4 linked regions of the Oryzias latipes genome follow. The protein of the gene in region 3 purifies or fractionates together with the protein of the main gene of each other region. This does not show direct contact. Links are inferred from orthologs where the notes say so. Each region holds a gene or a part of one and is shown on either strand. Other genes may lie near its edges.

What was found.
Region 1: the proteins of txnip (region 3) and wwp2 purify together in Homo sapiens (affinity purification with mass spectrometry; 3 studies listed by BioGRID and IntAct, with this or other methods). This does not show direct contact. The link is inferred for Oryzias latipes from reciprocal best matches to the Homo sapiens genes TXNIP and WWP2.
Region 2: the proteins of txnip (region 3) and wwp1 purify together in Homo sapiens (affinity purification with mass spectrometry; 4 studies listed by BioGRID and IntAct, counting the BioPlex papers as one, with this or other methods). This does not show direct contact. The link is inferred for Oryzias latipes from reciprocal best matches to the Homo sapiens genes TXNIP and WWP1.
Region 4: the proteins of txnip (region 3) and NACHT, LRR and PYD domains-containing protein 12 purify together in Homo sapiens (affinity purification with western blotting, with the first as the bait; 4 studies listed by BioGRID). This does not show direct contact. The link is inferred for Oryzias latipes from reciprocal best matches to the Homo sapiens genes TXNIP and NLRP3.

The regions. Positions count from the first base shown.
Region 1 is NC_019864.2:27,458,135-27,463,998, forward strand, and holds the start of wwp2 (NEDD4-like E3 ubiquitin-protein ligase WWP2), read left to right. Parts: upstream 1-2,478; 5' UTR 2,479-2,578; intron 2,579-4,524; 5' UTR 4,525-4,536; coding exon 4,537-4,606; intron 4,607-5,864. Other genes in the region: polr2c (DNA-directed RNA polymerase II subunit RPB3), read left to right, coding at 222-296, 774-918. UniProt on the Homo sapiens protein: E3 ubiquitin-protein ligase which accepts ubiquitin from an E2 ubiquitin-conjugating enzyme in the form of a thioester and then directly transfers the ubiquitin to targeted substrates.
Region 2 is NC_019878.2:10,288,265-10,293,461, reverse strand, and holds part of wwp1 (NEDD4-like E3 ubiquitin-protein ligase WWP1), read left to right. Parts: intron 1-30; coding exon 31-204; intron 205-349; coding exon 350-422; intron 423-3,143; coding exon 3,144-3,325; intron 3,326-4,162; coding exon 4,163-4,577; intron 4,578-5,197. UniProt on the Homo sapiens protein: E3 ubiquitin-protein ligase which accepts ubiquitin from an E2 ubiquitin-conjugating enzyme in the form of a thioester and then directly transfers the ubiquitin to targeted substrates.
Region 3 is NC_019869.2:21,667,985-21,673,932, forward strand, and holds txnip (thioredoxin-interacting protein), read left to right. Parts: upstream 1-2,257; 5' UTR 2,258-2,375; coding exon 2,376-2,631; intron 2,632-3,027; coding exon 3,028-3,103; intron 3,104-3,181; coding exon 3,182-3,329; intron 3,330-3,412; coding exon 3,413-3,772; intron 3,773-3,868; coding exon 3,869-4,174; intron 4,175-4,258; coding exon 4,259-4,309; 3' UTR 4,310-5,116; downstream 5,117-5,948. UniProt on the Homo sapiens protein: May act as an oxidative stress mediator by inhibiting thioredoxin activity or by limiting its bioavailability.
Region 4 is NC_019866.2:2,346,571-2,352,489, reverse strand, and holds the start of NACHT, LRR and PYD domains-containing protein 12, read left to right. Parts: upstream 1-1,901; 5' UTR 1,902-2,190; intron 2,191-2,785; 5' UTR 2,786-2,804; coding exon 2,805-2,899; intron 2,900-3,123; coding exon 3,124-3,234; intron 3,235-3,963; coding exon 3,964-4,074; intron 4,075-4,383; coding exon 4,384-4,583; intron 4,584-4,681; coding exon 4,682-5,919. UniProt on the Homo sapiens protein: Sensor component of the NLRP3 inflammasome, which mediates inflammasome activation in response to defects in membrane integrity, leading to secretion of inflammatory cytokines IL1B and IL18 and pyroptosis.

The sequences.
Region 1 (5,864 bases), on a different chromosome or scaffold from region 3:
TCAATACCAGAAATGCTTTTTCGTTTTCAAAATGTAGATGCATTTGTTGACTCAAAATTAAAAAGAAAAAGCTATTTGCCAAGCCAACTTCTATTTGTAATTATGCTACAGAAATGCTTCCATACAAACGCACTATAAAGTGCACTATGTAGTGAGTGGTGAAAGAATTCAGACACAGCCAGTATCTCACAATGATTGAACGTTGGGCTTCTTCTTCTTAGGCCGAAGAGTGAGTACTCAGAGATCGAGGAGGATGAAGTCCAGGCCCCCTATGACCCCAACGGAAAACCAGAAAGGTGAGCAAGAAACCTTCCTTAAAATGATTTTAGTATGCATGGTCCAGTGAACACCAACAACTATTTATTAAAATTGATATGATTTTTCTTTGTGGCATGGAGTGCCTTGTATCTCATAATGTGATCCCAAATGTGAGGATTTTTAACTCTTAGAATGTTATTCACAAAAGAACCCTACATAAACACATACATACATAAACAGTATCTTTTTTGAGCTCCAGCAGTCCCAGCTGTGACTGAGGAGGGATTTTCTAATCAACTCCTGCAGCTCCGCAGAAAATATGTCCTAGAAAACAACACAGGTTTTTAGATTTTGACTAAAAATGACAAACGTGACTAAAACACCACTGGGAACGCTTTGAAAATGGATCAAAAGATGTTCAGAGTGGGTTTGAAGTTTTAACGGTAAATTGGTGAACTCTGAGAAATCCCTGAACATGTGAACACATCTCATTTAATTGATTTTCTTTAATCCAGGTTTTATTACAACGTGGAGTCGTGCGGCTCTCTGCGACCCGAGACGGTGGTCATGTCAGCATTGGCCGTCCTAAAGAAGAAACTGAGCGACCTGCAGACGCAACTGAGCCATGAGATCCAGAGTGATGTTCTCACCATTAACTGAAGGCGTTCTCTTAGGTTTAGACCCGCATTAGTGCAGCTTTGGCTGAGCTCAGTCAGTCCTTCCTGCTTTCTGCTCTCAGCTCTGTGCTGTGTTTAATGTCTGTATTCATGTCTTTGAACCTGTGGGGGAATTGAAAAGCAGCTGAAAATCCACTTCCTGTTTCAGGAAAAACCCTCAAATGTTAAGAAAATGGTGCACAGACTCACATTAATATCTGTTTTGTTGTTGTCCCAATTTTAAATAAATATGTTTTAAAGACTTTTGTTCTTTCAAATCTGTTTTGTTTCAGTTAAAAACAAAAACAAAGTGAACAACTTTAACATCGAGCAAGAAATTTAAGACTTTAGAAGAACTACTGTTGAAGCTAAAAAATTAATTTTTAATTGGATAAGAAACTAAAAATGTCTCCTATCTAAATGTAATATGTTCTTTACAGCTAAAAAGTTTAATCGTTTTTTAGATAAAAACTTCACACTTGATCCAATTACTTTTTTAGCTGAAACATACTTGGACATTTAGTAAAATACTTCTTCAAATAATGTTTTGAATCAAAGTGTTTCTATCCTAAATGTTCACAATAAGTTTTTGTTTTTTTTGAAGTATTTTTAAAAATGTATTTTAACAAAGACACTGATTTTAAAAAAAAACACCACTTGTTAATGCAATTTTTTAGAGCACAAAATCACTTTTCTACTTTAATTAGAAAATTTGCAGCAGAATGACTTTATTTAATGAAAGTCGGTGGAGCCTGTTTATTGCAGGGATGATGGTTTGTATTAACATTAGTTCAGCTTGTTTATATAAAAGATAAAATATTCACAATCTGTCAGCAGAGGCTATTCTAAGTTGTTAAAGCAAAATTGAATTTATTCTGTGGCAAATCAAAGTATTTTTTTTAGGTTGGTTAGTTTTTAGTTTTGATTTGGTTCAGGATCCATTGAGAGTTTAATGTCAAAAACAAGGAAAAACGTGTGATATCATCAGTCTGTTTGTATCATTAAACTGTCCCTGTGATCGTGTGGCTGTGCAAAAGACCGGCAACACATCTAGTGTGTACCCCTCCCCTTGCCCAGCAGTGGCTGGAACAGGCTCCACTTAATACCCCAAAAGATTAAGTGGGTTCTGAAGGTGGAATCTTTTAAAATGAACTTTATCGACAACTATTGCACATACAATACATCATACAAAACAGGAAACTCCATACCTAGTTTCCATACCAGATTTCTACATTGCACGATTTTAGTCAACCATTTTATGCTTTACCATATGGGGGGGGGGGGGGGGGATTTGTTTTAGTTAAGTAACTTTATTGAATTTTCCAGGAGATTGAAATACAGAAAAAAACAATAGTACTTAAAAAAAAAGAAAATAAAAGGCAAATTTTCTCACATTTTAAATGAAACCAACCCCAACTCAACTTTTTTATTAGTTTAGGATTCCATACTTTTATGCACAGTACCATTTCTTAATGAAAAACGCTGTTTTTTTGTTTGTATATTTACATTTGTGTATGTCACATTTAGCTAAGTCAGTTAGGGGACAATATTCGTAGAGCAAATGCCCCCTCCTCCTCCCTCTGACGTCACTGGATCACGTGGCTTTATCAGTGATGCGGAAATGAAAGTTCACTAGCTACAGCGGCGGAGTACAGCTGAAAAAGGTACAAGAACTTTGCCATAAATGCTTCTGTTTTCTTGTGTCAGTACACCGAGCTGTGTCTAATATTAAGCGGGTTGCTATAGATCTTAATCTGTTTTCACTCTGGTGTATGAAATAGCTATTTTTTCCATGTCCTTTGGTAAAATCCAGCTAACAAGCTTGCGGGCTAACAGTTACCTTCTCACGACAAATGAGCCGTTCCAAACGGAAGTGAAGACAGTTCCCCTTCAAATTAAGCATTAGGGGTGAGAAAGGATTTAAGAAACACATTTTAATTAAAAAAATCAAAGTTTTATTCAAAATGTAGGGTTTATTAAATTACTAGCTTGTGTGTTCTTGAAGTGTTAAAACAAATTAAATTGGAACAAGAAACGCTTAATGCGTAGTAATGTAGTTATGTACTGAAATAACCATAATAATTAAGTCATGTCGTTCTCTTTCTTGTATTTTTATTTTCATATTTTAATAGAAAATACTAAATTATCTTTTTTGGGGGAATTAGAGTAAATAAAGGACTTTTTCTTGGTAAGCTTTTAATTTAAAAATCCTCAACGGAAGTTTGCGTGTTGTCTGCCCAGGATTGACGGTAATACTTTCATATGCCTCAATCATCTGCCTTGTTTGTATTTTGTTAGCAGCAGTCACTCAGGGGTACCATGCAGTGACGATAAATCGGTTGAGCAGAAATGGTTCCGTCTTCATCCGTTTAGGTGAAGCTTTGCCGGGGTCCGGAGGCGCCATTGATCCCCCTGGCCGAACCTTTCCGAGGTTAATTCGCAAGGTTGACGGGAATGCGAGCTTTTGTTGTGTTAGCTCCCCTCGGATTGGCTCTGACTGAGACAGAAGTGGTTGTCAAAACACACAGTTGATTTCTGATTAGGACCAACTTTTATCAAGACTCGCCTTGTCTGAGGCTTCTGACTGTGTGCAGAGGAAATGCAGAGTTTATAGTTATTTACTCTGCAAACAATGACGGAGCATCATCAAGGACGTAGTTGCTTGCAGCAGGGTTAATGCCTGCTGTGCTGCAGATTTGTTCGCACTAATAAACGCTGCAGACTGCATCCCTGCATGACTTTGCTCAAGGTGATGTTGATGAGACTTGGCTGCAGCCTCTGACAGGGAAAACAAAACACTTTCAGGTATATGCTTTTATTTTGTAATGTTTTTTTTAATGACAGGTGGAATCCAATCACAACATAATGACAAACTGTTAGATGAGGTGATTAAAAGGTGGTTCAGGGCCACTGGTTTATAAAATAGTTGCACATTGAAAGACAATAAAACACATTTTTATTAGACTTAGACACTTGTGAATATAAAACAGAACATTTAAAAAGTTTTCTAAATTAGAGATTTTTGTCTATAGTCAAAACAAAATGTAATTTATTTATTTACATTGTTGTTTGTGCAGTTTGCACTCAACCTAACAATAATGCATTTTGGTGGTGAGCTGTGATGTTTGCAGGACACTTGGTCCTTGGCTTTGTCCTCCAGGCGTCACATCTCTGCAGACTTTGCACATTAAATGAGTGAAAAATGCAGGAAGCGTTGGCTCTAAAGGATGAGGCTGCACCCCATGATTTGTTCAAACCTCGATTTTTGGGTCACAGTTTTGTTTTTGGTTTAATTTGTTTTTTACAAAACTATGACAAAAAACCTAAAAATTCTTCTTCTTTTCAGTGCCTTCTGGTCCGTGCAGAAGGCACTTTTAGTTTCATTGTACGTATGACAATAAAGACTTATCTATCAATTTATAAGTAACAATGAAGAAAACAACCTTTCAGTTGGCTTACACTGAGCCTGAAAACAATAAAAAAAGAATCATTCTTAAATTTAGCACGATGATTGAGACTTTCAACGTAAGCATACCTGTATGCAGCAGGGATGCAATGATTCACTTTTTGTGTAGTGTTGTGGTCATTTGTGCGACTGCTTGTGTTGCAGAGCTGGGATGTCATGGCAGCTGCCAGCGTGACCAGACCTGGCAGTGCTCAGAGTACAGAAAAGTCTCAGTTGATCCTGAAAGGTCAGTCTTTTTTATTTTTGATCACCTCTTCATAGACTTTGGGTGATTATTATTAGTATTTTTTTGTAAAACAATATTTCAAATTAAAGTGAAGCCAGATTTATGTTTAAATGTTCATTTGTGGTTTTTAAAGATGGGAGCAGATAATAATTGAAGCTTTATAGAATTTTCCAGTTAATTATTATTATTATTATTATTATTATTATTATTATTATTATTAAGTTTCATATAAATGTCTTCCTTGATCTATTTGGGCAAATATGTGAAGCATACGACAAAAACCTGGAATGTGTCAAAGTTAGACTGAAACACTTGCAGATTAATATTTTCTGCTTTTTTTTTGGAAAAACAACAAACAAAATTTTTACCAGAACATATTATGTTATGGTTACAACTTTTTGGTGGCATATTTGATCAGATAGCCTTAAAAAAATGTAAATTGGTTCATTTTACAAATAATTTTCATGTTTTCTCAAATACATTTTTCATGTTTCTCAGCTAATCTATGTGCTGTAAAAAAAAAATCCAGCAATTATATTAAAAAAAAAAACCCAGAATGTTTCAATTCTTATGCTGCAGCTTAAGATGATTTATTTGATGCCCAATTTTTAACTAATATATAATTGCTTGAGTTTTAGCTGTTTATAAAGATAAGTGAAGTTTAAACTTTCTGGTTTATCAGCTGATGCCTCTTTATTGCTGCATTCTGCTCTATTGTATTCGCTGCGGGACGTCCCTCAAGTCATTTTACAGTTCAACAGTTTTCTGGTCTGTTTTGCAAATACAGCAAACTCTTTTTGCAGTGTATTTTATACTGGTTTTACAGTCGAGTTTGAAGCACCATATGGTTAGATTGATCAATACATCTGTACTTTAGATGTCATTTCATAATAAGGTGGGGTTTTTTTGTACAAAAAAATAGTTTAAAAGCCTATTTTCTCATTTGAATTTGTCAAAAGGCTTTTATAACTCTTTAGAATAAACCTCCGAAATTGTAGGGCTGTGAATCCACAGTTTTTCTGTCCATCCTCAAAGTTTCTCTGGCTAGAAAATGTTTTACAAACTGATTTTAAGTGGACATCTTAAAACGCATTCAGATGAACATGTTTACATTCCTGTTCTGCTTCTCCACCATGCTAGCAGACAGACGCATGACGTCACATCATTGATCACCAGCTTTTTAAAATCTTTTAAATTTCATATTAATTATTCAGATTGTTGACTATTTAGTTTTTCAGAACATATTTGTAAAGCTAAC
Region 2 (5,197 bases), on a different chromosome or scaffold from region 3:
TAAATAATAATGGCTTGTTCGGATGAATAGTGGAGAATGTAAAGGAGGTGCTAAAGCTAAACGTGGAGCAGAAAGGAGTCATGGTGCCTATGGGGGAGCTGATGGTGTTCCTGGACGGACTGATCACCAGTCCTGAGGATGGGCCACCTCTCACCAATGGCAATGCAACAACTGCCTCTAGTGAGCTCAGTATTTTGATTAGAGGTGCGTTACATTTATTTTTTCCAAAATTAACAAAGAAATGTTTTATTTTCTCTTTGACCTCAAAACCTGTTTTATATGTTTCAGTTTAGTAAAAACCCTCCTGCATGGGCTACCTATAGTTAACATTTCTTTTTATTATTTTCAGAGGTCCATCAGAATGGCGAGGTTGTCCATGAAAACGGAGACTCCTCCTCATCCTCTTCAAGGGCTGCCAACAGGTAAACTCTTTTTGGACTGTATCTAAAGGGAAAAACGCCAGGAACTTCTAAAAAAACAAAAAGTTCTGTGGACAATTGAAGTCATAAATTACTTTCAAAATCAACATGAGAGAACCAGATTGTAGTGTTGACGAGTTTTATTAGCAGACTTTTCTCTATTTTGTTTTTAGTGGCACATTTTTTTATAATACAAGAGCATAACAAAAGATGAAGAATTGTCAAGCAAAAAATAATTCATTCATCCATCTGCCACATTTTGACTTGAAGTTACTTTCATTTAACCAAAATATTCAACCTCTTTTTGATTGTAAATGAGACAGGTGTCTTTCAGAAGGGAACAAGACAATGGACAAATGACAATATTGTGGAAAAGTTTGAGATATTTTTTAGAGCTGCACGGTGGCACTATTGCCTCACAGCAAGAACGCCCCCAGTTCACGTCCCAGCTGGGGGACCTGAAACAGAACATCAATGGGGGACCCCCCTGTGTGGAGTTTCTATGTTCTCCCCGTGCATGCGGGGGTTTTTCTCCGGGGGCTCCAGCTTCCTCCCACCGTCCAAAAACAGGTGGAACCTAGGAATTACAGTAATTTCCGGATTATAAACTGCTACTCTTGTTCAACGCTTTTTTATGCATTTAAAAAAAAAAAATTAATGCATTTTTTCTAAACGGCCGCCAGTTGCACTCGAGGAGAAAAGGTAAGAGTGAGACAGGTGCAATACGGTATATGTGTCGAGGAAGACGGAAGTTTAGTGTAACTTCCCGCTTTGTGAATGAATAGCATGAATATCATGGAAAATGCAAGAAGAAATGCTGATTCTTCTTCTGTTACATAAGTTTAACAGGGAAGAACCTTTTTTTTAAAGTGCTGTCATCACACCAATTACTTAAACAGAACGTTAAGAGGAATTGTAGGTTATTATTTTAAACTTTCCCTTAAAAAGTAAAAAGAACAAGTGCTCCATTTTTAAATGTCCAAGATGAAGTAATCTCTTTTTCTTCTTTTAAATCTAATTATCCATCCAGCAGTTCTTGTGTAACAGTAAAAGCATCAGTTCTGTCCAGTAATGCATTAACCAATCCCGTCTGTTTAACAGAAATACATGACATAATCCTTTTTTATAAAACATATTTTACATTTGTGAAAGCAAGTGTGATTCGAAAGGACTAGTCTGTCTTTTTTTTAACTGAGCTGAAACCTGATTTATTCTTTAGTCTGTGTGTTATGATGTTTCTTAATATGTCAAAGACTTTGTTTTTTTGTACAACATGTAAGTTACAAGTATTGTGCTGATTGATTGATGTGAGCGAAACAGGAAGTCAGAGAAGGAAACAATGTGGGTGGTGTGGTGCAGTTAAACAAAAACATTTATGGTGCTGATCACAACTATCCAGCTTGTTTCATTTTGTAAATACATTTTCTCCAAACTTGATTCAAGTCATTTCCTTCTCTCAAGGTCAGCAGGACCCCTAGATTAGCAGTGCTGCTTGGCATTAACCTGCTTAGACATTGCTTAGAGCGTTTTAATGCCATTATACAAAGTTTCCTACTCCCTATTGTGTTATAAAGTCTCTGGAGGAATGTGCCAAAGCTCTTTCTCGCTGTAGAGTGGAAACTACCCATTAAAAGAAACGGGAAAATATCCATCCATCTTCAGAACCTGTAGAATCCCTTTTGGGGGTCACAGTGTTGCTGGAGCCTATCCCAGCTACTGTTGGGCAGAGGCAGGGTACACCCTTAACAGGTTGTCAGTCTCTAGCAGGGCCACACAACCACACTCACATCTAGGGACAATTTAGAATCATTATTTACCTATGAAGCATGTTTTTGGACTGTGGGAAGAAGTCAACACGTGCACAGGCAAACATGCAAATTCCACACAGAAAGGACCCAGCAGGGATTCAAACCACACCAGGATCTTCTCGCTGTGAGGCGAAGATGGGAACACTCCATAAAAAGCATCTGAAGACCAGCTTTCTGATGTGTTTGGTTTTAAGCAAACTTGCAGAGATTAGGATATTTGTTTTGTTGTGTGCTGCCAACAAGGATTCGAAGTCCCACTCTGATCATATTTGGATCTATTTGCTGGTTTTAGTCAAAAAACTTGTCGTTTTCTGCAGAGTTTGAGAAATTCATTACTGATTTGTAGATGGGAAAATTGGCGCAAGGTTGAGACTGCTTTTATTTCCCATCATCCCTTTGTTTGCAGTCTTTCCTGCTAGTTTACAGTCCCTCACAACCCCAACCTGTCGTTAGCGGTGCAACAAAAATGGCGAGTAAAGTTGGGGCTAACCAGCCGTACAGTTTTGAGCCAGAAGACTCTGCTTTAAATAAGTACAGCAGCCTTTATATTTAGGCTTTGGTGCTGAATTTAGAAATGTTTTTTATTGAACTGCTTAAATTGTTCATGTCTTGAAAAATAATATTGCTTTAAAGCTTATTGCAAATTATTATAATTTTTAGTTTGCAAAAAGCTAAAGATTTGGTTGTTTAACTGATTGATCGTTGATTCCCTGCTGTAGGTCTTGGCTTAGCTGAGCTTTAGTTCTATGGCTGGTTTTGGTTTGGTCGTTCTGCAGGTTTGTCTCTGACATTACCTGAAAAGCTACAGCTCACAAAGAAAGCCTTTCAGTTGTGCTCATTACGCCGCTGATATCTCGTTTCGTCATTGCATTTCATTTACAATCTCCTTCTTGTCTTCTCTTTCTTCTCCCTCAAGCACAATGAATGGTTCAGATTTGGACCCGAGGTCAGGTTCCTGTTCAGCCTCCAGTGGCGCTGAAGGTCAGGTGCCTTCCAGCTCCTGTAGCCCAGCTCGGGATCATGCGGTCAACGGAGAGACAACCCTAAACTCCACTCCAGTCCACCAGCCATTCGACGGCGAGACACAAAATAGAATAGGTGAGTTTGTCTTCTATGTTCTCAATTCTAAAGTCTGTTGATCTTTTCTCTGAAAAGAATTCCTAAAAATGTCATTTTGTTCACATTTATGCTCCCTAAACAAATCTTTATTGTGTTCAAGTTTGAAATGACAAAAAGAGTAGTTTTAGGTAGGGATGTCCCGATCCGATCACGTGATCAGAAACTGATCCCAATCACGTAGTTTCAGACTCGATTGAAATCAGATGATTGTTTTGGTAAACACACTTTTTAACGAGAATGGCTCTCTGTGCTGCAGATAAAGAGACAGCTGTCAAGGGGTCTACAAAGTGCAAACTCTGGGGAAAAGTGATTTGAAAAAAATAAAACAAACAAAACAAAAAATCTCTGCATTGGTGACTGCTAGTAATGTGCGGTTAACCGCGACACCGCGCCCCCTGCTGGTTCATCAAAAATCCCACACCATCACAGCTCTACTTGACAATGTTCTTTTTTTTAAATTAACTATGAAAATAACAGTTTACACTGATAGTTCTCAAAGTCCAAGTTTTATTTTTAATCCTCAGAAAAGTTGTTATATCTGAAGTACGTCAATCATGGTGGCATTACACCAACATATCCAGCTATTGGACAATACAATACTTTCTATTTTTAAGATAAAAAGTTTATTGTTCTGAATGTTGATTTTGTTTTCATTCTCTTCTTATTAAGCAGCCATTGAGGCTGAGAAGAATATTTTACCACAGACTTCTTCATTTTTCCTAAGTGTACATGTGATGCAACAGTTGCACATGTTTTTGATGTCAAAAAGTCAGATGATGCGAACAAATAAAAACCGTCATTGTCCTGTGTTTGCAGTAAATGGGGAGTCCAGCGAGGCTGCTGCCAGGCAAACGTCCTCAGCAAGAACGGATGTGCCCCCCACAGGCGGCCACGAGGACGGCGCTGGAGAGGCCGACTCTCCTGCCGCCCCGAACAGCACGTCGCCGCCTCGGACAACTTCCGCGTCTCCTGTAGCCTCCTCTGCCGGTGCTAAACCTGCAGACACCACCGCCGCTGCTTCCACCACATTGGCCTATGCAACCCAAGGGACCAGCACCGCCACAACACCCTCCTGTTCGTCCTCTTCCTCCCCGCCCACGGCAGAAGTAAATGCTTCCGGAGACGGGGGCGGCGGCGGCAGCAGCAGCGGCAATGCAACGACAACCTCAGACGGGGTCAAGCCCAGGCAGCCGCTCTCTAATGCTGCATCATCTGATCCTCTACCACCAGGGTAAGAAAAAAACTTGATTAAAAGCTAGAACCGCCTGATAACACACGGTTTGATCCTGTGATGTTTATTCAGGTGTTGTCAGCATCTTTAAGCTCTATTGAGAACATGCAGTGGTACAGATTTTGTTCAAGCACTTCACATACACTGAAATGATAGCTATTACTGCAGTAAACTTAAAAGCCCTCTTTTCAAATGTTACATGGCAAATTCTAATTTGTAGGGTTAAACCACCTCATTTTCTCTATGTTTTCTATTTCGGCAGTCAAATCCAACTTCTGTAACATAAACATCAATAACATTTGCTATTGTTTCTCTGGGGGGTTTTCGTGTACGGTACTTTATTGACGGTCCCTGCCTGCCTCTGCAGCTTCACATCAAGGCAAACTCCGGCTCTGCATCACCACAGACAAAAAAATAAACTGTTCATAATGGTCAATAGAACTACATCCAGCGTTTTACTCTGTAATGTTTGTGGATAAAGTCAGAAGAACAGAACAGACTGGAGATACCGTGACGAGCACATAAACAAAACCGATCATATCTATGAACTTGACACATTGTGGCTGTTAGACTTCTAACATTAGCTCATCTTATAGTTTCCGTGAGTAAATGAGGTTAGA
Region 3 (5,948 bases):
GCAAATTAGATATATTAGAGACAGAAAAAAATATTTAAAGTTACAATAAACCCAAGTTAGTCTGAAGAAGAGCTGTATTTTTCCAATCATTGGGGTAATGCAGCATTTTAAGACGTTCCAGACATCTTTTATCCTGAAAGGAAATCAGTGAGGCATCAACTTGATCACTTTAATCAGTTAATATGTTTCAGGTATAAAAATGAGGAAAGAACTGAGTTTCCTGACCTAAACAAATCTTTGGAAACCTTATTATTACAGATAATTGTGTTACTTCTTTTTTAACCCTTGTTTTTAACCCTTAGATGACTCCACCCTTACTTTGATGTGTTATTCCTACCATGACAAATGTGGATAAAGGTGGAAAGATTTCATGTAATCCATGGACACCAGTGAGGTTCACAAATCATTGAAGAAAAAAGGTTCAGCACACTGTCTAGTGGGTCTAGATGACCCAACTCCCAATGGTAAAGTGCGTAGGATAGCACCAGGGTTACAGTACGAAATGATCCCTTCTACAAAATTGATTTCCATCACTGTGTCTGTGAACAAAAATATTTTTAGATCCCACTTCTGAAGAGATGCGATACCCAGAAAAGTCAACCATTCAGAAGACATGTGGCGTCAGTTGGGGCATCTTGTTACAGACGTGGGGATACTTGAGAGAGGAGCCACAACGATCAGTTTACATTACACTTGAGCCTTCTGAGACAATTAAAAGGTTCTTGCTTTTTACAGAAATATATTTGATGGTTGTGAAACAACACAGAGAAAAAAGTTGCAAAATGTTTTTTATTCATTTTTCTTTTAAAATTTAGACCAAATTTGATCTTCTTCCAATAATATCTGCGGTGGCGGCGTGGTGCAGAGGAAGAGCAGCTGATCTGAAGATTGTAGGTTCGTTTCCATCCGGCCCACATGTGTGGAAGTGTCCTTGGGCAAGACGCTGATCCCCACACTGCTCCTGGTGGTTACAGGTTGGCGCCATTGTGTGTGCATGGGTGAATGTGAATAAAGCACTATGGGCCTTAAGGGAAGGTAGAAAAGCACTATATAAGTATTTACCAGGAATGCAAAGATTCACTTTCTCCATGACTTGGTTCAATTTTTGGGTCACGTTTTTGTTTCCATTTCATATTTATTTTGAGTATTACAAAACAACAATAAAGCTAAAAAATATCTGAAAATCCCTCTTTTAAATTAGCTAATTAGCAAGAAAGAATGAAGAAAAATCTTTCAGTTGGCTTATACCAAAAACCATAAATACCATAAATAACACATCCTTCTAAAAGATAATGGCATGCTGTAGGGAAGCAAAGATGGCCGGAAAAGGGTCTGGCAGCTCCGTGACCCTGAAGTGGATTTTAGAAGAGGAATGAATGAATGAATGAATGAATGAATGAATGAATGAATGAATGAATGAATGAATGTGGCATCCCTACCAATTACTGAGGACTCTAGAAGTATCAAGAATCACTGTAATGTTAACTTCATGAATTGTTTACAGTGAAACTCTGGCGTTTATTTTGTAAGCAATATTTGACCTAACATGCGTGACGTTAAAAGGATAAAATGTTAACATTATATAAGTTGAAAAAATGTCACCCTAAATTAACCTCAAATACTTTTATTTTACATTTTGATGTCTTTTTGTATTGTTGGAATTGTCTTTTTGAACAATAGGGAAAAAAATACAAGCGAAAAAAAATACAAGCAGACAGTATAAAAACCCACAACAAAAAAATCTATATCACTTTTAAAAAGTGTAGCCTACACTGTGGCCCTTCAGCAGCAAACAGACATTTTAAAGTATTTAATGCTTTGGGAAAATATTAATGAGTTGATCCTCACAATTGTTTTATGGATCTGTCTGTTCATAAGACAATAAACGTCGTGTAAACTTGACCATTAACTGCTTGATATAGTGTTTTCAGGTTTTTCTTTATCTGTTATCATCCAGTTTCAGCATATCAGGACACAAAATTAACTGTAAACTGATTTTATATCATAGCACTGATAATATTCATTTGTAACGCAGCTGAATAACTGACCTAAGAGGGAAACGCCTGTACTTCCCAGGTTTCTGGTGTTTACTATAAACGCTGAGTTTTCGTCTCTCATCTCCTGAGCACGCGCTGCACTCTCGTATGCATGCGCTGTCCACGCGCTGACTCTGCGCTCTGATTGGCTAAAGCCGAGACAAACCTAGAGTTTCCGCCAATAGGAGCGCTGTGCATGCGCTGAGCCACACCGCGGAGGCGGTTCATCACGCGGGGCTCACGGAAAGAAAGAAAAATACAGCCGCCTCTGTTGTTTACAGCCTCAGACGACGAAAGCTTCAGTCGCACGAGCAAGCATTGTTCACAGCCTCAGCAGCCATGGTAGCCATGACGAAGAGACTGAAAACTTTTCAGATAGTCTTATCGGACCCGAGCAAGACTTTTTACTGCGGCGGGGAGAAGGTGTGCGGCCGCGTGGAGGTGGAGGTGAACGAGTTGACGCGGGTGTCTGCGGTGAAAGTCGTGGCTCTGGGCTGTGCCAAGGTGGAGTACGCTAAGGGGAAGCAGCGATGCCGACAGGAGGCCGAGTACCTGAGGCACGAGGAGGTCCTGAGCCTGCACGACCAGCCCAAAGGTAAGCCTCGTGCGCACTGGAACTGTTGGAAGTGCTGGAATTATTTTTGTCCTAGCTAAATAACACAATTACACGTTAAAAATATTAAGTAGTTAAATTATTTTTTCTTCCACTTTATAAATCTAAAGCTGTTTTTGTGGTTAAAGTGAGCTGCTTCTTTTTTTTTTAACTCTAGTCTATTTTAAAGTGAGTTTAATAAATTTGGATTCATGGGTGAAATATGACGCAGTGAGAATTTACAGGGGTTCATCAGTGAGGCAGGAATCAGAAACATCCGTGCTTGAACTTTGTCCCAGTTGGCTCTGTTTACATCATGTCCCACCTTCATTTTCATTTCCCACAGAGTTGCCCCCCCCCCCCCCCCCCTTACTCATGGTTTTTCTCCCCCCTCCCCAGATGCAGATGGCTCTGTCGTGCTGAGGCCTGGGAATAAATATGAGTACACTTTTGGATTCGACCTCCCCGACCAAGGGTAAGCCCCCTTTTTTTTAGTTCCTCATTCAGTCATGAAATGATTTGTGGTTCTAATCCTGTTTGTGTTTGCTCATAGGCAGCTGGTATCCTCTTACAAGGGGAAGTTTGGCTATGTTCAGTACTATGTGAAGGCTAAATTGGAGAGGCCGCTGCAGCCCACGCTTGAGTGCAAGAAATGCTTCGAGGTGGAGGAACCTCTGGATGTCAACACCCCAGATTTACTTGTGAGTAATCAGAACATCCATGGGTGTAGATGTTGGGATTCGCCGCCGTGCTAACCTTCTTTTTACCTCTTTTTGCTCTTCAGTCTCCCACAGGTGGCTCCAAGGAAAAGAAAGTAACCTGCATGTTCATTCCCGACGGCCAAGTGTCACTAAACGCCAAAATCGACAGGCGTGGTTTCTGTGAAGGCGAGGACATCTGCATCAACGCCAAGTTCGAGAACACCTGCTCACGCATCGTGGTTCCCAAAGCTGCCATCATTGCCAAACACACATATCAGGCCAACGGCCGCACCAAGGTCTTCAGGCAGAAGCTGTCATCAGTGCGTGGAAACCACATCATCTCTGGCATGTGTGACGCCTGGCAGGGGAAGACCATCAGGGTACCAAAGATCAAGCCATCCATGCTGAGCTGTAACATCATCCGTGTGGAGTATGCACTAATGGTGAGCCACCGATGGTGAAGTGTGCATGCCTGCGGAGCACCTGTGGCTCCTCCTGAGATAAACACGTGTTGATGGTCTGTTGTTTTCTTCTTCCAGATTTACGTCCACATTCCCGGCAGTGAGAAAGTGATCCTGGAGCTGCCTCTGGTCATCGGGACAGCCGGTCTCGGCAGCCGCAGCAACAGTGTGAGCAGCCAGGAGGGCTCCGTAAGCAACGCCTCCCAGAGCTGGGTGTCCCTGCAGATGCCCTCCAATCCCCCCAGCTACTCTGACATGACGCGGGACGTTCGGCTCGACCAGCCCCTCACGCCGCTGCTGTGTGACTGCGACGACATAGATGGCAGCCCCATTTTCATGAGGTCGCCCAGCTTCCAGTTCCCATCACCGCCTGTGTTTGCCGAGGTAAGGCGATCAACAGGGTTCTGCGCATTTCTGGCAGCTGCTGGGACGGTTCTGAAAGTTCTGGTTTTGCTTCGTGTTTTGCAGACCGAAGAAGAGTACAACGGAAACAACGTTTGCATGCTGCCAGTCTGCTGAATGCTGCAGCTGCGGGTCCAGTTCTCCAAGACCAATCATTGAATGCACTTCAACAAGAAGCTGGAGGTCCAAACTGGAGAGAACCTGCGATGATGATGTTTCTGCATATGCCTGTGCTTCATCCAGAGTTTCCCCCTGGTGTTCGGTTGGTCCTGAAGGTCTCCGTCTGCTGTTCCTCCCGTCTAAAGGCTCCATGGAGTAACCGGAGTCCGTTGGTGTTGCTGCTTCCTGTCGAACACTTTTTTTTTTTTACTCTTTGAGAAGGAGCCGTGTGTGAGTCAGGCTGTGACTCCTGGCTGGTTTGTTCATTCCAGTTATATCCAGTTTCTTCCAAAGAGGAGCTGTGGCTCTCAGCAGGCTCATCAGTTTGTTGGGAACAAACGTTTAGGATGATAAAGGAGCCTCCTTATTTCCACAGAGCATTATCTCAGCATGTTGTGTATGACTCCTTTTTCTTTTTTTTTTTGAATCGCACTTTTTAAAGTTATGCTCTGTTACTGCAAACAAACGTTTTTGGCTGTGTGTTACAAATGTAAAAAAATGTTTTTTTAATTTAAAAAGAAAAAAAGAGAAATCCCAAATTTGATTATATTCTGACTTTAATTCTTTTCAGCAGGTGTGATGCTGAAGCACCTTACAGAACTGCTGTATCTGTTCTGCAGTTGTCTCAGACAACATTTCAGTCAAATCTGCCCTCTTTCTTCACTTTAAAAGTTTGAAAAGTGTTTTAAGACTGAGTTGTAAGAAAGTATTTTTGTATGAACCCCATGGGTCAAATTTTATATAATAAACGCTTGAAAAGAAAAACCTGTCGATTGTTTCATCCATTAAACATGAACCCAACCTGATCTGGATGTCCCTGAAAACGGCATTGCAAAAGACAGAAAATTCCTTTTTTGCTGATAATAAAATCAAAAACCTCCCTTTTTAATTTGAAATGTTTCATTTTTTTTTAGTATTACCAATTATTACTTGACTTGGTTGTTTTGTGCTTCTTGTTTATGAAACTGCATTCTGGAGAGCAATGAAACTCAACCCAGACGCCCTTATCTCTAGCTCATAGTTGTGAAAAGACGTCAGCATGACGGAGCACAGAACAGCCCTCTGGCTGCACACCAGTCCACTTAATCACAGCTGGAACCTTAGCCAACTATTTCCTTCAAACACCTTATTTTTCTAGTTTACCTTTATTCTACATAGATTCCTTTACCCTTGTGCTATCTTAGATGACCCCATCCTTACATTGAAGGGTTCTCCCTACCATGATAAAGGTGGAAAGATTTCATGTAATCCATGGACACCAGTGAAGATCACAAATCATTGAAGAAAAAAGGTTCAGAGCACTGTCTAGTGGGTCTAGATGACCCAACTCCCAATGTTACAGTGCCTAGGATAGCACAAGGGTTACATTCAACTTTTGATATATTTTTTAATATTGTCTTGGGATATAGCCCATGGTAATACGTATTGCCAGACTCTTGCCAAAACACAGGCCAAGGAACAATTGACAATTTTGAACATCATACCTTCAACTGTCAGCTTCAGCTTCATCACCCTCTCTTACAGTCTTCTTATTCAGAAGATTCTTAGCAAACTTGTAGAATCCCTGGATGTCCACCCCTCTACTTTCCACCAAAGT
Region 4 (5,919 bases), on a different chromosome or scaffold from region 3:
ACCCTCACCCGCAAAGCCATCAGGATTGCAAGGGACCCCTCACACCCATCCCAGAGACACTTCAACCTGCTGCCAGGAGGCTGCAAAGTCTGCAGGCCAGAACCAGCAGACTAAAAGACAGTTTCCTCCATCAGGCAATAAGGACACTCAACTCCCTCCCTGCCCTCCCCCCTCTGGCCCCTCCACTCCATCCTACAAGCTCACATTGAAAACTTCACACCATTTCAGAACACCATCATCACCAAAGACTGCCATCAATGACTCATCCACTTACTGTTCTCAGCACTGATGTCACTTTAAACTGCCACTTCAACCATGCCACTGTTCTTTAGCACTGTTTAGACTACTGTTATTCCTCTTACTATTACTATTACTGTCTTTTTATCTATTTTTTACGTCGTTTATTTATTATTTTATATGCTGCTTGCACTGTGGGGTGAGAGAAAATCAATTTCATCTGTGCTGTATGTCTTATGGATGCAGCATACTTGACAATAAAGCTGACTTTGACTTTCAGTCTATCTGCCTTGGTGGATCAGTGGGTGTTAACATGTTTTAATGTTTTGAGAAGGTGTGAGATTAAACATTTTTTTATTACAATTTAAAATTTATCCCTTTATTTTCCATCAATTTGACAAAATACACCAACCTAAGACAGTGGAAAAAGTAGAATAATCCTCAAGCACCAAGGATGCGCTTTCTCACATGTCTGTATTATTACAATTCTCCACCAGAGGGCACCACAATGTAGTTTTCGCTTGTTTGTCCTCATCGGCCCCCTCAGACCCTGCGTACAAATAGTTGTATTCTGTTGAGACTTCGGGAAAATTGATGACGTTACAATATAATTGTAAATAAATATAAATATTTCCCAATTTATTATATATGATATGATATTATTAGTTTTCATGAAGGGAAATTAATGAAATTTACCAAATATAATTTTTTTGTGCCACTTCTATTTTCAAAAATTTTGAGTCAATGTTTATTACAATTGATTCTAAATGTTTTTGTACCAGTTCCACCATAGATGGCTAATTGTTTCTGCGCAGGTCGCCCTCATTTTGCCTTCAGGGGCAAATGACTGGTTTTCTCTGCATCATCTGCAGCCTCTGTGGCGCGGGAAGGTCCATGTAGAGCTGGGAATAGGATTAACAATTTTAACGTATCTTATCATCTGTTGATTAGCAGGATGAATTCTATGCAGAAGTTATTTTTATTTTTTAACTTTATTGTAAACGTCAATCTCAGTACAAAACAATTACATATAAATGATATAAAATAAAACAAAAAAAAAAATAAAGTAGGAAAAAACTACAAAAGCACACAGAGTATGGAGGATTGATAAAACATTGCAGAATTGACAGTTGAAATAATTATATGTTGGGAGCAAATTTAAAGACATTTTATAACTTTTGGGTTATTTGAAAAATTAACTAATTCAGTATAATTTGACTTCCACAAGGACATTTGTTAAAAAGTAAAATGGCATATTGTTATGTTGGTGGAAGACAAACAATTTCCAAATTTAAAAAAAGGAGAGAGCAAATTAGTAACAAAAGAAAATGGCCAAAAAGATTGAGTAAAGGGGGCAATGCCAAGACAGATGATTATTTCAATATTGGGTTTACATTTTATTAAATGGGTTTTGGCAGGGTGAATCTATGTAAACTTGATATGTCTTTTTTCTCATTGGAAATAGAATTAGGTAAAAAGCAGGTCTTTTTCCAAGATAGTGTTTCCAATACGTGTCAAAGTTACCCTGTTTTTTCTGAAATACCGCTCTAATGTCTCTGTTCTTTGCAAAAGTTAATATTATTCAGATGAGGAGGAGAAATGCGTCACCAGTCCGCCTGGAAGGAGTCCGGTCTGCAGCGCCCCCTGCAGGCCACCGAAACCGAAAGTTTCCGGAGGTGTTTGCGCACAGAACTCAGTCGCAGTTGATGACGATCCGGAAAAAGAAAGTTGGAAGCAACAGCGGGTCGAGGATTCGGTCCGGATCTACATGGACCTTCCCGCGCCACAGAGGCTGCAGATGATGCAGAGAAAACCTGTCATTTGCCCCTGAAGGTAAAATGAGGGCGACCTGCGCAGTCATTGTCACCTGATACCTGCGCAGGGAGGGAAGCGACTGGAGGCTGCAGAGCAGAGGCCTCAATGACGGGGGGAGAAATAGGAACTTCGGCTTATGTGAGTATGCAGGTCAAGAGTTTATTAGTGTCTTTGATTTTCCAAGATAAGAAAATTAAATAACTTTTTTTTTATATGACAGTAATAATTAATATAATAATCCAACTACTGTGTCAATATTATCAAGTCTTGTCTGCACAGGAACTTTACAGCTCCAGACATGCGCACAAGAAAACTTTGTGAACAGGTAGAAACAGGCAAATTACAGCTTTGGACTGACGTGACGCACATTCTTCAGACAGGAGTGAAGGAGAGTCTCAGAGGAAATTACTGATCGGACTGTTAATGATTGTGATTGATTGAGAAATGATCAATCAGGAAGTTACAGTCAGAGGTCACGTGGGTTTCTTATCAGGGAAGGAGAAAGCCGCTTTAAATTAGACAGTGGAACAAATAGTGTTTATTAGAAAATATGTGCAGTATTTTGTCAGAAGAGCAATTCCTCAAACGGATCTCGAACTGTTGTTTGACTCTGTGAATATTTGATTGACTGCCATAGAGATTAAGAAACAAACATCCATCAATAAAATCTGTGATTGGCGGGATGTGAGTCACACCAGCTGTTAAAGATTGGGTTTATTTTTTATGGCTTCAGGTTCAGGTTATGACTGAGGATGAGTGGTTCAAGGAGGAAGAGGAAGAGGGACACATCAGAGATTCCACCATCTCGCAGTTTGCCCCGATCCAAACCTGAACCCTCACAATCAAAGTAAGACGCTTACTAAAAAAAAGGGAGATCTTTGAACAGAAGGAGGAAAAGATGATCAAAAACAGTTTGTTTTCCTGTAAGAAACCTTCTGCAATCTGCCTAATGATCACATTGTCTTTTTAGTCTGAAAACTATCCCTTCAAGTGAAACTCCATCACATTCATGCAGAGAAATGCCCTCTTTTACCCAGGTTTTACCCTGTAATCTTCTGTTTTTATTTGCAGACATCCACAGAAACTTTGTTCTTCATCATCCAGCTCTCTGTCCCTAAAGAGTGACTGGTCCAAAGAGGAAAACCCGCATTTCAGTGCTGAACCTGAACCATCACCCTCAAAGTGAGACTTTTTTTTTGTGAGACAAAATAGGAAATACTTTTTTTTTTTTTTACCAAGCGAGATCTTTGTGCAAAGGAGGAAAAGATGAACTTAAAACAGTTATTTTCCTATAAAAAGCCTTCTATATTCCTACAACCTGGTGTGTTATGTTGGTTCTCAGGTCATCATCCCCACTGTAGTTCTCTTAATGAGTGGTATCTATGTTTACAGTGGAAGTTCTCCTCACCTTGCTGAACTGGTTATTCAGGGAATCTCACAGGTGTTTTTTAGAGAGGAAAACTGATGAATTGACGGCACGCTGCGCCGTTTAAAAGAAAAAACAACACCTTGAACCTTTATCCAATTGGTATAGTCCTAAAGAGGGGTGTTCCTGTTGTTTCGGAGGTCTGCTTTTATTCATAAAGCACATTAATTGTGGTTCCTTTAAGCAGTTCGAGCGCTAAGGTGATTCTGTACATGATTTAGGACTAAAGCTTAAAATTACAGAATTCTGTGATTTTTTTTTTTTTTTGTGTGGAAAGTTTATATGATTCAGAATATTTTTTTGTAATCCTAAATTACAATTAAGGGTGATAAATTCTAGGATTTTATCTATTTAAGATGCCTAATTAAGGATCGCACGATCTTTTTATTTTGAGGAATGTTCTTTACTTGGAACGCCATCACATCAATGCAGAAAATTCTTTTTATGACCTGCAGACGGCTGTGATCTTCTGTTTTTATTTACAGACATCCACAGAAACCCGATTCTTCATCGTCCAGCTCTCTGTCCCTGAAGAGTGACTGGTCCAAAGAGGAAAACCCGAATTTCAGTGCCGAACCGGGTCGCCCAAATTCAAAGTAAGAGGCCGTTTCATCCAAGATTATCAGATTAGCTTTATCAGAGGTTTCATGTCTGCTTTACTGTAGCTGAATGTGAACAGGAAAGCCCTGATTATCAACACAGATTTTCAAAGATGCCTTTCAGTGAGATAGAAAGACTAAATGTTTTTAAGGAGATGCAGAAAACCTGTCATTGTAAAACCTTTCTGTCAGGATGTGTAATCTAGGGAATAGTTATGAACTTGTTGTGGATGTCTGGAGTCTTGATCTGACTTCCTTTCTTGATCTCTGTCAGCTTCTGTTTGAGCTGTTTCCTCCTGTTCACAGACAGAGAGATTCTTCTGGGGAGAGGAAGCCCTCCAGCTGTTGGTTTTGTCTGAACGTCCTGGAGGAGCCGGTCTGCAGCAGCTGTGGACACGGCTTGTGCAGACAGTGCATCGCCTCCAACCAGGCCGCTCCATCCAGAGCCTCCTCCTGTTCACGATGTGAAAGAAGATCCAGAGCGGAAGCTGGACCGCAGACAGCCGGTCAGAGCAGAAGAACTCAGAGTAAAACCTTTGTGACGTGGGTTTGGACCAAAATGAGACCATTTTCTGTCTCTCTGCTTCTGTTTTTCCCCTCGTAGAAGGTTTTCGTCTCCAGAAGCAGTTTTTTAAACATCGGGTCAGACAGAGGAAGAGAAGCGAGCATGTGGCTGAAGGAAGTGAAGAAGAAGCAGCAGGAGGAGGAGGAGGAATGCTTCTCAACGACATCTACACTGAGCTTTACATCACTGAGGGGCTGAGGGACAAGGTGCACACCCAACACGAGGTGAGGCAGCTGGAGACGGCCTCCAAGAACAAAGAAACACGCAAGGCTTCAATCAGGTGCCACGACATCTTCAAAGCTTTCCAGAACCAGGATGGACCCGTCCGAGTGGTTCTGACGAGCGGCATTGCTGGCATTGGAAAAACCTTCCTGGTGCAGAAGTTCACTCTGGACTGGGCCGAGGGTCTGGAGAACCAAGACGTCATTTCTGTGGTTCCTCTTTCCCTCAGGGAGCTAAACTTGGTCAGAGATGAGCAGTACAGTCTTCACAGTCTGATCCAGCTTTTCCATCCAGCGTTCCAGAAGATCCCAGCAGAGCAGCTGGATGTCAATAAACTTCTGTTCATCTTTGATGGCCTGGATGAAAGCAGACTTTCTCTGGACTTCCACAACAGTCAGGTGGTGTCTGATGTCACCCAGAAGTCCTCAGTCAGCGTTCTTCTGACAAACCTCATCCAGGGACGTCTGCTTCCCTCAGCTCTGGTCTGGATCACTTCCAGACCTGCAGCAGCCCACCAGATCCCTGAAAAACTCGTGGATCGGCTGACAGAAGTGATCGGCTTCGATGATTCTCAGAAGGAGGAGTACTTCAGGAAGAGGTTCAGCGACGAAGAGCAGTTCAGCAGAATCATCTCCCACATCCAGAGCTCCAGGAGCCTTCACGTCATGTGCAGAGTCCCAATCTTCTGCTGGATCACTGCTACGGTTCTGGAGCACATGTTGACCACAGAAGATAGAGGAGAGGTGCCAACGACTCTGACTGACATGTACTCGCAGTTCCTGATGGTCCAGACAAAGAGGAAGAAGAAGTACCAACAGGGATGCGAGACGTGTCCACAGGAAGTGACAGAGGCTGACAGGGAAGTCCTCCTGAAGCTGGGGAAGCTGGCGTTTAAACATCTGGAGAAGGGGAACATCATGTTCTACCAAGAAGACCTGCAGCAGTGTGGTCTGGATGTGACGGAGGCCCTGTTACATTCAGGGGTTTGTACTGAGATCTTCAGAAGAGAGTGCATGATCTTCCAAAGACCTGTTTACTCCTTTGTGCATCTGAGC